2 linked regions of the Arabidopsis thaliana genome follow. The protein of the gene in region 2 interacts with the protein of the main gene of each other region in a pairwise test. Each region holds a gene or a part of one and is shown on either strand. Other genes may lie near its edges.

Region 1 (5,672 bases), on a different chromosome or scaffold from region 2:
GGTAGACCTAGACGTAGGTCCACGAAATTATACTCTTGCATTATACACCTCAAAACTTAGATATTTACATAATTACATTTTATCGTTTAGTATAGTGCTTAAGTTCCGTCACATGCAATCAAAGTAAAGTCTTCTTGATTTCGTCATCAAGATATTGACTTTTCCTAAATGGATCCGAGATCTTGTTAACGACAACCAAAACACGTTAAATTTGTTATTGTTTTTCGTTAAACTGCAAAGTTATGAATTTTAAATGTATAAAATCCTGGACCATTAGCAAACACAGTTCACTATACCATTTCATTGGATAAATAATCTCTTAAGATGCGTAACTTCGATCTAAAATCTTCGCACACTACCACTTAACAAGTTGTAAAAAAAAATATGAGACTGAAAAATACATGAGAAAAGGATATTATTGGTGATTAAGTTTGATGTGGCTCCATGTGTCTAATTTCTGATTTGCGCTGAGGTTCTCTTTAAGAAAAGAAACTACTGGCTGAGAGACATCAGATTAATCAGACTGTATTAGCTGATTAAAAGTTAAGCGCAACAAAGTATAAGCATAATTAAAATTGGTCTGCTCTCATTATTCTTTTTGCATTTCCACTAGCAGCGGAATAATCAAATACTCCACCCCCACTTACATGTAAATTATAAATTATGAATGCGATGTAGCATCATAACGATTGACCAATTAAAAGGTCTGACGTGATGAGTGATGACTATGCCAATTTATCAAAATATGGACAGACATAAAACTTTTTTATCAAGATCGTGCGTCTGACATTAGACCCCAATAAAATTCCAACTATAAGCTCACGTCATAGATGCAGAAGATTAAAATACAAATAAAAATCCATTTTTAAAGTAGAACCAAATGGATGATAGTGATACTTGTTTACTAAGCTATATTAGTCATAGCTTTTTATTTATTTGCCTTAGAAAATAATCGTTAATATTTTGAAAAGAAGATTACAAACAGGAACTAGTACCCTTCTTTAAGCGTTTCATTGTCAATAAACGAGATTACTTAGAAACCAAACCGTAAGAGGAGCATATTGAGTTTATAGGATTTCACTTAGTCTTTAGAGATGATATCATTCAGAAGTTTGGCCTCACGTTAAGACGAGTTGCTAGTTTCTGTCCCAGAGATTTGTCTGCCTGAGACCAGTAAGAGATCCAAATGCTGCGGATTTCGTGCGTGACACGAGGCTCCGAAAGCGCTTCAACAAAACGCTTCACGAATCGTTCTTGCCTATTGGTACAAAACAAAAGACCATTAGAATGAATTATGACATTTGTGGTTCATGTGTAATTGTTGATTTTGCAATGTGGTTTTTGAGTTTTTAGTGTTTACCTGTCTGAATCCCAGGACCGGTATCTCTCCCCTGGTTGCTTGAAGTTGTTCTCCTTCCCGATGAAGCACTGTGATATAAAGATGACATTTGAGTTTTAACTATGACTTATGAGGATAAAACTTGTGATCAAAAATTAATGTATGTAGAGGACTCTGACCTTCTCACGATTTCCAGAGCAGACAATAGGAGTTGTAGGGTATTTTTCGGCATGGCGAACTGGATCCAACCTTGAAGGGAAGTAATTGACCTGGAATTGGAAAGCAACAAATTCACTTCATATAAATGTGATTGCGAATTTAAGTATCTGGGAGTTTCTAGAGCCGAGAGATAAGATTACCTCCTCATCCCTGTGCATGAAGTTCATAAAACCATCATGGTGATTGTTGTGGTGAGCACATTTAGGGGCATTAACAGGTAGTTGCAGATAGTTTGGTCCAAGACGGTGTCTCTGACTATCAGCGTAGGAGAAGATCCGGGTCTGGAGTAGCTTATCATCTGAATAGTGGATGCCTGGAACCACAAGAGCAGGACAGAATGCAATCTGTTCGTTCTCATTAAAGAAGTTGTCGATGTTTTTGTTCAAGACCAAGCGACCAACAGGTTGTAAAGGCAAGATATCTTCAGGCCAGATCTTTGTGACATCAAGCGGATCGAAGTCAAATTTGTCTTCATGGGCAGGATCCATCACCTGAACGAAGAGATTCCACTGCGGATAGTTCCCGGCTGCGATCGAGTCATAGAGATCTTTGGTGGCATGGCTGTGATTGGCTCCTCCAACTCTGATAGCTTCCTCATCCGACAGGCATTTGATCCCACAAGTCGGCTTCCAGTGGAATTTCACATAGTGAGCTTTTCCAGCTTTGTTGATTAGCATGTAAGTGTTGACCCCAGCGCCTTCCATGTGCCTGTAGTCCTGTGGGATACCGAGATCATCAAAGAGAAATGAAAACATGTGCAAACTCTCTGGGTGGTGGGAGAAGAAGTCCAGTATCCTCCAGTTCTCCTGAATGTGAGACTTGGGATTCGGTTTCAATGCATGGACCATGTCAGGGAATTTCATTCCATCACGGACGAAGAATACAGGGAAGTTGTTCCCAACAAGATCAAAGTTCCCCTGAGTTTGCAAACAGAGGGTAAGAGGAATCATCAGTATAGTATGATATGATTTGCAAGTAATCATATAGGTGGTGAAACGAAATAGATAAGCAAATAAACGTTTGAATATCAGCAAACACATCGATATCGGTTATAGAAAATAGAGAGACAATGGAAGGATAAGACAAAAAGCTAACCTCTCTGGTGTAAAACTTAACAGCAAAACCACGGGGATCTCTGAGAGTCTCGGGACTGCCACGCTCATGGATGACAGTTGAGAAACGAACGATAACAGGAGTCTGAACACCAGGTCCTCGAAGAAAATCAGCAGAAGTAAGTTGGGTAATGTCATGAGTGACTTCAAAGAAACCCTTAGCACTGGCTCCCCTGGCATGAACAACCCTCTCAGGAATCCGCTCCCTGTCAAAGTTAGCGAGTTTCTCAAGCAGATGATAGTCCTCCAGAAGGATTGGACCTGACAATATATAAAACCATCGCTTAACATATCTAAAAATCCAAGCAACTGAGACAGAATCAACATTGAGGAATTATATCAGATTTGGCATAAAACTGAAGGAAGAAATGTGATTTACGCAAGTCCACAACAAAAACACTAATGACATTATTATCCAAACGTTTATAAAATTATTTGGCTTCCACTACTCTAGCTTTAAGGGCATTTCTAACAACCACTGGTTCAACATATTTGTTATAATTTGTATTCAAGAGATAAGAAAGAGAAACGGACCTCGAGTTCCGACAGTCAAAGAAGAGTTGTTGTTCCAGACAGGAGCACCCGAGTTTGTAGTGAAGAAAGGGGAATCATGAGCGCTTGAAGGACGAACCTGCACACCAACAAATAAATTCAGAAGAACTGGATCACAAAAAAATTAACCAAATTTCCATAGATTGGAGAAACGTCTATGACAAATAATGATACATTGATACTTGATACATAACAATTCCACATAAGTATATATGATCAATTAAAAAAATACGATACAAGCAACAATGATATTCACAATTGAACACAGTGATTAAAATAACTTTAAAAAAATCGTAAAGAAACCTTAAAACATGTACAACGATATTGACAGATCACGTCAGCCTTAAGACTTGTGTATTAGAACATGAGCATGAGCATGAGCATGTTGACAAATAAACAATCAATAGACGGAAAAACATGTTGAATTTTCCAGTGGAATCTTCAACGCATGCAAATCGAAACCCAATCTCCACTATATAATAAAGAAATCGATTCACACAAAAAAACCTCAACAAGTCGAACAATCACCCCAATTTTGCATCATTTTAACCGAGAGAGAGAGATCATTCATACACTTTGGATTCAACACGAAATCACACCAAATCGATACGAAATCAAGTAAGGTAAAATCACAGATTACAAAAAAAGAGAATCAATCGATGTACCCTGTATGGATCCATGATGCTTGAAGACAATTTTGATCCGAATTTTTCTTCTTTTGCGATTTTTAGGTGAGACTGTGTGTATCTCGCAAATCGGCGTGTGTCTGCACTGTTGTCGATTTTTTTTTTATAGCGAGAGCCAAAATATCTTATTTTAGCTCAACACCAAAACACGTATGTGTTTTGTCTTTGTTAATCCTTATCCAAATGATAATCCTCGTATTAATAGTCAAACTAATTACGTGTGGATGATATCGTCTTTGATTTCGCCAGATACTATACCATAATTAGACAATTGTTGATCCATTTCAGGATTCTCCTTAAAATAATACATGTTCAATTACGGTATCTTCTCTTTTTTTTCCTGAATTAATAATATGTATAACGACCACCATAAATCTTAGAAATTGTTTACTGCTTCAAGAAACATTGATTTATTGTAAAAAGAGATTACAAAGACAGTGAGAGTAGAAAGGAAGGAAACATGAGTTTTTGGGATTACAAGCATTATTATTATATAGACAAGAAACAACAACACATGTGATTATCTTTTTGACGGATTTAACGACCAAGCGATGATAGATCGATGAGATTGATTGTACCTCACATAGACTGAGCTTATATGGAGATTGGCCTCTAGATGCTTGGCCTCACGTTCAGACGGCTTGCAAGTTTCTGTCCCAAGGATCGATCAGCCTGAGAGATACAGAGAGATAAATAATGTTTTAGTTTGCTGAAACTTGGTAAAAAGGACGTAGAAATTTGACCGAGTGTTTTTTTGTTCTGACCTGAGACCAGTAAGAGATCCAGATGCCGCGGATCTCGTGGGTGAGACGTGGCTCCGATAGAATCTCCACCCATCTCTTAACAAACCTGTCTTGCCTGTCTGGTGCCCATGATCTGTACCTGTCTCCAGCCTGTTTGAAGTTGTTCTCTTTCTTGATGACGCACTGCAACATTAGCAATTAAAAGGTTTTCTTAGCACCAATATTCTAATAAACTTGAGTTTAGGATTTGAAGATTTAGAGAAGGCATGGCAGGAATCGGACCTTTGTTCGAATTCCAGTGTAGGAGTTTGTAGGGGTGGGAACTTTCTCAGCGCAGCGGACAGGATCAAACTTTGAGGGGTAGTAATTGATCTGTAAAAAGTACAAACCAAATGAGAATTTTGATTCCAAGTAAAAAGACTAACAATGGTAGCTCAAGTGGTGTACTAAGACGTACCTCCTCATCTCTGTGCATGAAGTTCATAAAACCTTCATGGTGATTGTTGTGGTGAGCACATTTGGGAGCATTGACTGGAAGCTGCAAATAATTCGGTCCAAGGCGATGTCTCTGAGTGTCACCATAAGCAAAGATCCTACACTGGAGCAGCTTGTCGTCTGAGTAGTAGATTCCAGGAACCACAAGACCCGGGTTGAACGCAAGCTGCTCAGTTTCATTGAAGAAATTGTCAATGGTCCTGTTCAGAACCAAGCGACCAACCGGTTGCAGAGGCAAAATATCCTCAGGCCAGATCTTGGTCACATCAAGTGGGTCAAAGTCAAACTTATCCTCATCTGCAGGATCCATGGTCTGGATGAAAAGTTTCCACTCGGGGTAGTTGCCAGATGCAATGGCATCGTGGAGATCCTTAGTGGCGTGGCTGTGATTGGCTCCTCCAACAACCTTGGCCTCTTCATCAGTCAGATTCTTGATCCCACAAGTTGGTTTCCAGTGGAACTTCACAAAGAGAACTTTTCCAGATTTGGCAATAAGAGTGTAGGTGTGGACACCGAAACCCTCCAT
Region 2 (5,317 bases):
GATTACCTCGATGTGACACCGGTTATGAAGAGAGTAATGGTGGGACAACACAGGGAAGCTCCAGCTATCTTCAAGCATCAGAATATTTATTACATGGTCACTTCCTGGTGCACTGGTTGGGCACCAAATGAAGCCTTGGCTCATGCGGCTGAATCTATAATGGGTCCATGGGAGAAATTGGGGAACCCGTGTATCGGTGGTAACAAAGTTTTCCGGTTAACAACATTCTTTGCGCAGAGCACTTATGTGATTCCTTTACCTGGTGTTCCCGGTGCGTTTATATTCATGGCAGATAGGTGGAACCCGGCTGATTTGCGGGATTCCAGATACGTGTGGTTACCGTTAGTTATAGGTGGACCTGCTGACCAGCCTTTGGAGTTCAACTTCGGGTTCCCATCGTGGTCCAGAGTGTCCATCTACTGGCACAGTAAATGGCGGCTGCCTTAAAGACATACAAATAACCAAATATGTTCTTACCGATCCGTCAGTGCTGATCATTGTTGTTGTCTTGTTGATTTGTTTTGTAGATTAGGCATTCATACACACCACTGTAAGGATTATACTTAATAAATCTTTTTACTGAAGATACAGCCTCAGCTCTTGGACATCAAAGGTTCAATGTTATACAAATGCGTTTGTGACTTGGGCTGTTATACAAATGCTTTTGTGACTTTTGGGCTCCATCAAAACTAGTCAACTTTATTACACAGCTCCAGATTTTGGACATCAAAGGCTCAGTGTTGTCATACAAATGCTTTTGTGACTTGGTCTCTATCAAAACTAGTCAACGGTTTTACAAAGTAGGTAGAGAATGTTTTCAATTACCAGCTAGAGAAATCTTTAAACCCTGTGGAGGCTGACGCAGTAGTTTTTCTTTTCTTAGACACTCCAATGGTTGAAATATCTGAGTCTAGGGAACCTTTAGTGTCTTTAGTGGCTGTACTACTCATAGCTTTCAAGTATTTTCCGACACCACCGCCACCCGCTCCAGCTTCTGTTGTTCCTGATCCCGGGTTGCTGTACCACGACCCGATCTTCTCCTGATACATTACATAGTTCATATATAATCTTATCAGACCAATCCAAAGTAAGAGAGCAAAGAGAGATCATATTTGGTGGAAGGGATGATACTAACAATGTCTTTGTCTTCATTCTTCTCTTTCTCAGCTTTCTCTTTCTCTTCCTCTTCATCAAGCTCCGTGTATGGATTCACAAACACACTTGCCTCGATTATCTTAATCTCTTCCTGCAGAAATTACAAAATACTCTCAGGAGACAGAAACTACTAAAGAACACAGTGAGTTGAGTTTTTGGAACTTACAAGAGGACGGTCGCTTTCATCTACAGGTACATTCTCCATTGCTGCTAGTGTTGCCAAACCACCAACAACTCCACCAAACACTGTGTGCTTGTAGTTTAAATGGGTCGCTGATTTGTATAAGACGAAAAACTGAGAACCATTTGTGTGAGGTCCACTATTAGCCATACTAACTACGCCTCTTCCTGAGTGAAGCAGCTTCGAGTTTGGCTCGTCTTTGAATGGCTTCCCCCAAATGGATTCACCTCCTTTTCCTGTGCCAGTTGGATCGCCCCCTTGAATCATGAAGTTCCTTTGTAGAAGAAAGGTCAAAAGATCATGTTTAATTGCCCCATAAAAACTCTTAAAACAAAACAGATTTCCAAGACATATATGTATGCATACCTGATACTTCTGTGAAAGGCCACTCCATTGTAGTAACCACGTTCACAGAGAGTGATGAAATTCTCACATGCTCTAGGAGCTATATCGCAATGGAGCTCAATGTTCAAATCGCCATGTGTTGTCTGAAACTGAACATACCCTTTCTTTTTCGGGTTTTTCTCGACTTTAATTAGTTCAAAATCGTTTTTGGTTACAGGAGTAAAGGCAGAGGAAGTGAAAGAACGAGAAGCAGCACCCGACGAATAACGGCTCTTCACCTGCAACAAAACACCAAACGCTTTAACAACAATACACAAACCTTTTAACCGAGTTTATTCCGAAGAAGAAGCTAACCATTTTAGAATTAACAGGTGTTCTATCTCCAGCCATATGCATAGCTATTCTTGCAGCTGTTTTATCACTAGAACCAGCTTTAGCTGCATCAGCACTTCTTCCAAAAACCGAAGCAGATGCAGCATCAACAACACTGTAGGTCTGTTTCGGTTGTTCTGCTTTAGAAACCTCTTTGATTTTCGATCTTGACTCCAGAATCGCAGCAATAGCAGCGGCTCTTTCATTACGTGCCTTGTTTCCACCTCCACCATGTAAAGCAATCTCTTTAGCTTTATCAGTTCCAAGATCTGCAAGCATGTGCTTGATATCTCCAGACACGTTTATATTATAAGCAGGGTCTGAGTTCATCTTTTTCAACTCTGCAAGAAAACACAAGATATTGGAGTCGTAACCAACCTAAACAAAACACGTATTATGATAAATTGCTTGGTCGAATATAAAACTGAAATCAAACCTTCATCATCGATCTTAAGACCGTTTTTAACATGATCAAACTCCACCGTCACTTTACCATCAACTGCATTAGGATTCTGCAAAACGTTACCAAAAAATGCTTTAAGACACTAACCCATTGCAAAAAAAGCTTCAAGCAGAGAGAAAGAGGTTAGTTACCTGAATTGTTATAAGGTCGGCTCTTGTAAATGGTTCTTCAGTTAAAAGCTCCTTCCAATTCTTGGTTTTGATATTCAACTCTTTGATTGCCTAAATTTACACAGCAACAATAAGAATCATCGAAACCAAAAATAAGCAAAGCAAAAAAAAAAAAAAACAAACCTCGTAGCAGAATACATTTCCAGTAGTCTTGACAGCAACAATATGTGTAAATTCAGTGAAGACTTTGTTTAGAACAGGACAATGATACTCTCCTACAATGGTAGCCACATATCAAAGATGAGAGAAATCACAAGGCATCAGATAACATAGGTAAAGAGAGAAGAAAGAAGAGAACCTTCAGAGTTCTTGTGAAAGATGAGAGGAATTAGATCTTCTCCTTTCAATGGAGCTCCAGTAACAGGATGTTTTCCAAATTTCCTAATGTAAGGCACTATTGTTCTGCAAATTCCCAAAAGTCAATAATTAAGCTCCCTTAATGCCTTAAGTAAAAGCTTAAATCACTATGAAACAAACTACTCACGTTATCTCGAAAACACTCCCGTCGATTGTACACACAGGATCTTCGAATGGCAAAAACGTAAGCCTGAATCAGAACAAACAGATTGAAATTAGGAGAGATTGAAACCCAATTTGAAAGTAGTGGAATCGTGGAAGAAACATACGCGCAGCAATAGTAAGGAAGACTCTTGAAAGGAGTTCGATTCTCTTTGGATTTAGCGCCTCCCCATTCTGTTGCCCACTCCGTCTTCGTTATGAACATCCGATCTTTGCTGTGTTGTTTCTTCCCCATCGTTCACTTCTTCGACGTTGATAGATTTCAGTAGCTGGAATCTTAACCGTTGCGATTTTCGATCTGTCTGATACTACCGCCCTCCCCACCGCGTTTTGTTTTTGTTATAGTCAGGAGGAGGAGTCGCCGCCGTAGAACCAGATCCGGCCTTAATAGAGTCCGACCCGGATATTAAAAAGGCCTGTTTTGTTAACACTGGGCCGTATATTTTTAGGCCCAAATGCTCGATTACTTAAAAAGCCGGAGAGTTGGCGCCAACTTGGCGGCCATATAATAATCTCATTCTCTCAATCAATCAAACAAGTTTTTCTTACCAACTCTTTGCAGATTGTGAATTACATTTATGTTTTCACAATTTAATCGTCCATAGGTAAAATAGGTTTAAGAAACGTTACAACAATGATATTAATATTACATTTACATACAATTACGTGATTTTGTGGAGTGTTTCTTCAGGTATCCATTTTGGTCCAAGTACGACACAACAATATCTGCCATTTCACACAGAGAAGAAGACGAAGATGAAGGTGAAGATGAAGATGAAGATGAAGAAGAAAGCCCCTTGTCTCTACTGTTTTGTATTACAATCTGCAAAGAGTAGTCGGAAACACAACATTAGATTCAAGTTCGGAGATGAGCTAGATTCCAACTTATATAACAAAAATTGGATATTATATGAACCTCGCAATCCAAAGGCGCTTCATATGGATCATCTACTCCTGTAAAACCTGGAGAAGAAATGTTTTGGGGAACAATATATTTACATATAATCAAATGGATAGATCAAGAAGGTTATATAATTAATGAAAATCAGTAGAACATGGGTTAAGTTGAAAACAGATGCAGAGAAAAAGCAAAGTTACCTTTGATTTTACCAGCGCGTGCACGTTTGTATAAGCCCTTTGGATCTCTAGCTTCACAAACATGGAGTGGCACATCCATAAATACCTATCAAGAGAACCAAGAGAAAGTCAGATTGATGTTGAGACTGGGATTCAAATTCATGAACTTGGAGAAACCTCAATGAAATCTCCTTGTGGTAATAATGCACGGCAGGCAGCTCGTTCTATCCGGTAAGGAGATATTAAACTTGCAATACAGATAATACCAGAATCTGCAAACAGTTTAGCCACTTCACCAACTCTTCGAATGTTTTCAGCTCGATCATCTGCTTCGAAACTAAGATCGCTGTTTAAACCATGTCGAACATTGTCACCATCAAGTATATACGAAAGCTTTCCACGATTGTGCAAAGCTCGACTAAGAGCACATGCCAGACTACTTTTACCTGAAAAAATACGAGAATATTTGAAAGAATCCAGTAGAAACATAACAAGATGTAGTTAGAGATCAATTCAGAAACAAAGGACCAAACCTGAACCACTTAAGCCAGTAATCCAAATCACACATCCCTTTTGCTTAATTAATTCTTGCCTGTCGGATTTAGTAACGGGACAATCATGCCAGACAATGTTCTTTTGCTTTCCATTGATTTGCTTCGTTTCACCTGGTTAGATTATCTGAGATTAGATCTATTCAGATATACATCATTGATCTGTCTACTAAGGTCCAAACTTTATGCTAAAACTATGGAAATTTCTGGTCTCAGGAACCCAAATGTTAAAAACGAATCATAGGAACCCAAACTAGGATTAGAGATGAACCAGAACGGAATTACGTGATTATTACCGGACCGCGATGAAATGGATTCATCTTTTGCCATGATCGGACGGAAGTAGCTCATTCTCCGATGAATTTTCCCGCGAAGCTTCAAACTTTTACTACCGGCGGGATCCGAATTCGTGGAGCTAGACAATTTCAGAAACCGCCGCTCCGATAACCGGTGCGATTCAGACTCACCGAACGCCGGCGAAACG

Evidence for each region. Proteins that work in one complex are often made in the same cells at the same time.
Region 1: the proteins of PUB49 (region 2) and CAT1 interact in a two-hybrid assay, tested with the Arabidopsis thaliana proteins (one large-scale study listed by BioGRID).

What each region holds. Positions count from the first base shown.
Region 1 is NC_003070.9:7,145,042-7,150,713, reverse strand, and holds CAT1 (catalase 1), read right to left. Parts: upstream 4,079-5,672; 5' UTR 3,903-4,078; coding exon 3,888-3,902; intron 3,302-3,887; coding exon 3,205-3,301; intron 2,932-3,204; coding exon 2,654-2,931; intron 2,476-2,653; coding exon 1,699-2,475; intron 1,609-1,698; coding exon 1,519-1,608; intron 1,429-1,518; coding exon 1,361-1,428; intron 1,259-1,360; coding exon 1,105-1,258; 3' UTR 534-1,104; downstream 1-533. Other genes in the region: CAT3 (catalase 3), read right to left, coding at 4,521-4,580, 4,673-4,834, 4,934-5,023, 5,109-5,672. UniProt on the Arabidopsis thaliana protein: Occurs in almost all aerobically respiring organisms and serves to protect cells from the toxic effects of hydrogen peroxide.
Region 2 is NC_003076.8:26,939,383-26,944,699, reverse strand, and holds PUB49 (plant U-box 49), read right to left. Parts: upstream 3,627-5,317; 5' UTR 3,441-3,626; coding exon 3,313-3,440; intron 3,234-3,312; coding exon 3,171-3,233; intron 3,089-3,170; coding exon 2,985-3,088; intron 2,902-2,984; coding exon 2,810-2,901; intron 2,738-2,809; coding exon 2,648-2,737; intron 2,566-2,647; coding exon 2,490-2,565; intron 2,395-2,489; coding exon 2,036-2,394; intron 1,960-2,035; coding exon 1,703-1,959; intron 1,611-1,702; coding exon 1,322-1,610; intron 1,247-1,321; coding exon 1,136-1,246; intron 1,041-1,135; coding exon 822-1,040; 3' UTR 554-821; downstream 1-553. Other genes in the region: AT5G67540 (Arabinanase/levansucrase/invertase), read left to right, coding at 1-447; APK4 (adenosine-5'-phosphosulfate (APS) kinase 4), read right to left, coding at 3,858-4,028, 4,122-4,168, 4,304-4,388, 4,460-4,728, 4,816-4,947, 5,130-5,317. UniProt on the Arabidopsis thaliana protein: May catalyze the cis-trans isomerization of proline imidic peptide bonds in oligopeptides thereby assisting the folding of proteins. May also function as a chaperone, playing a role in intracellular transport of proteins.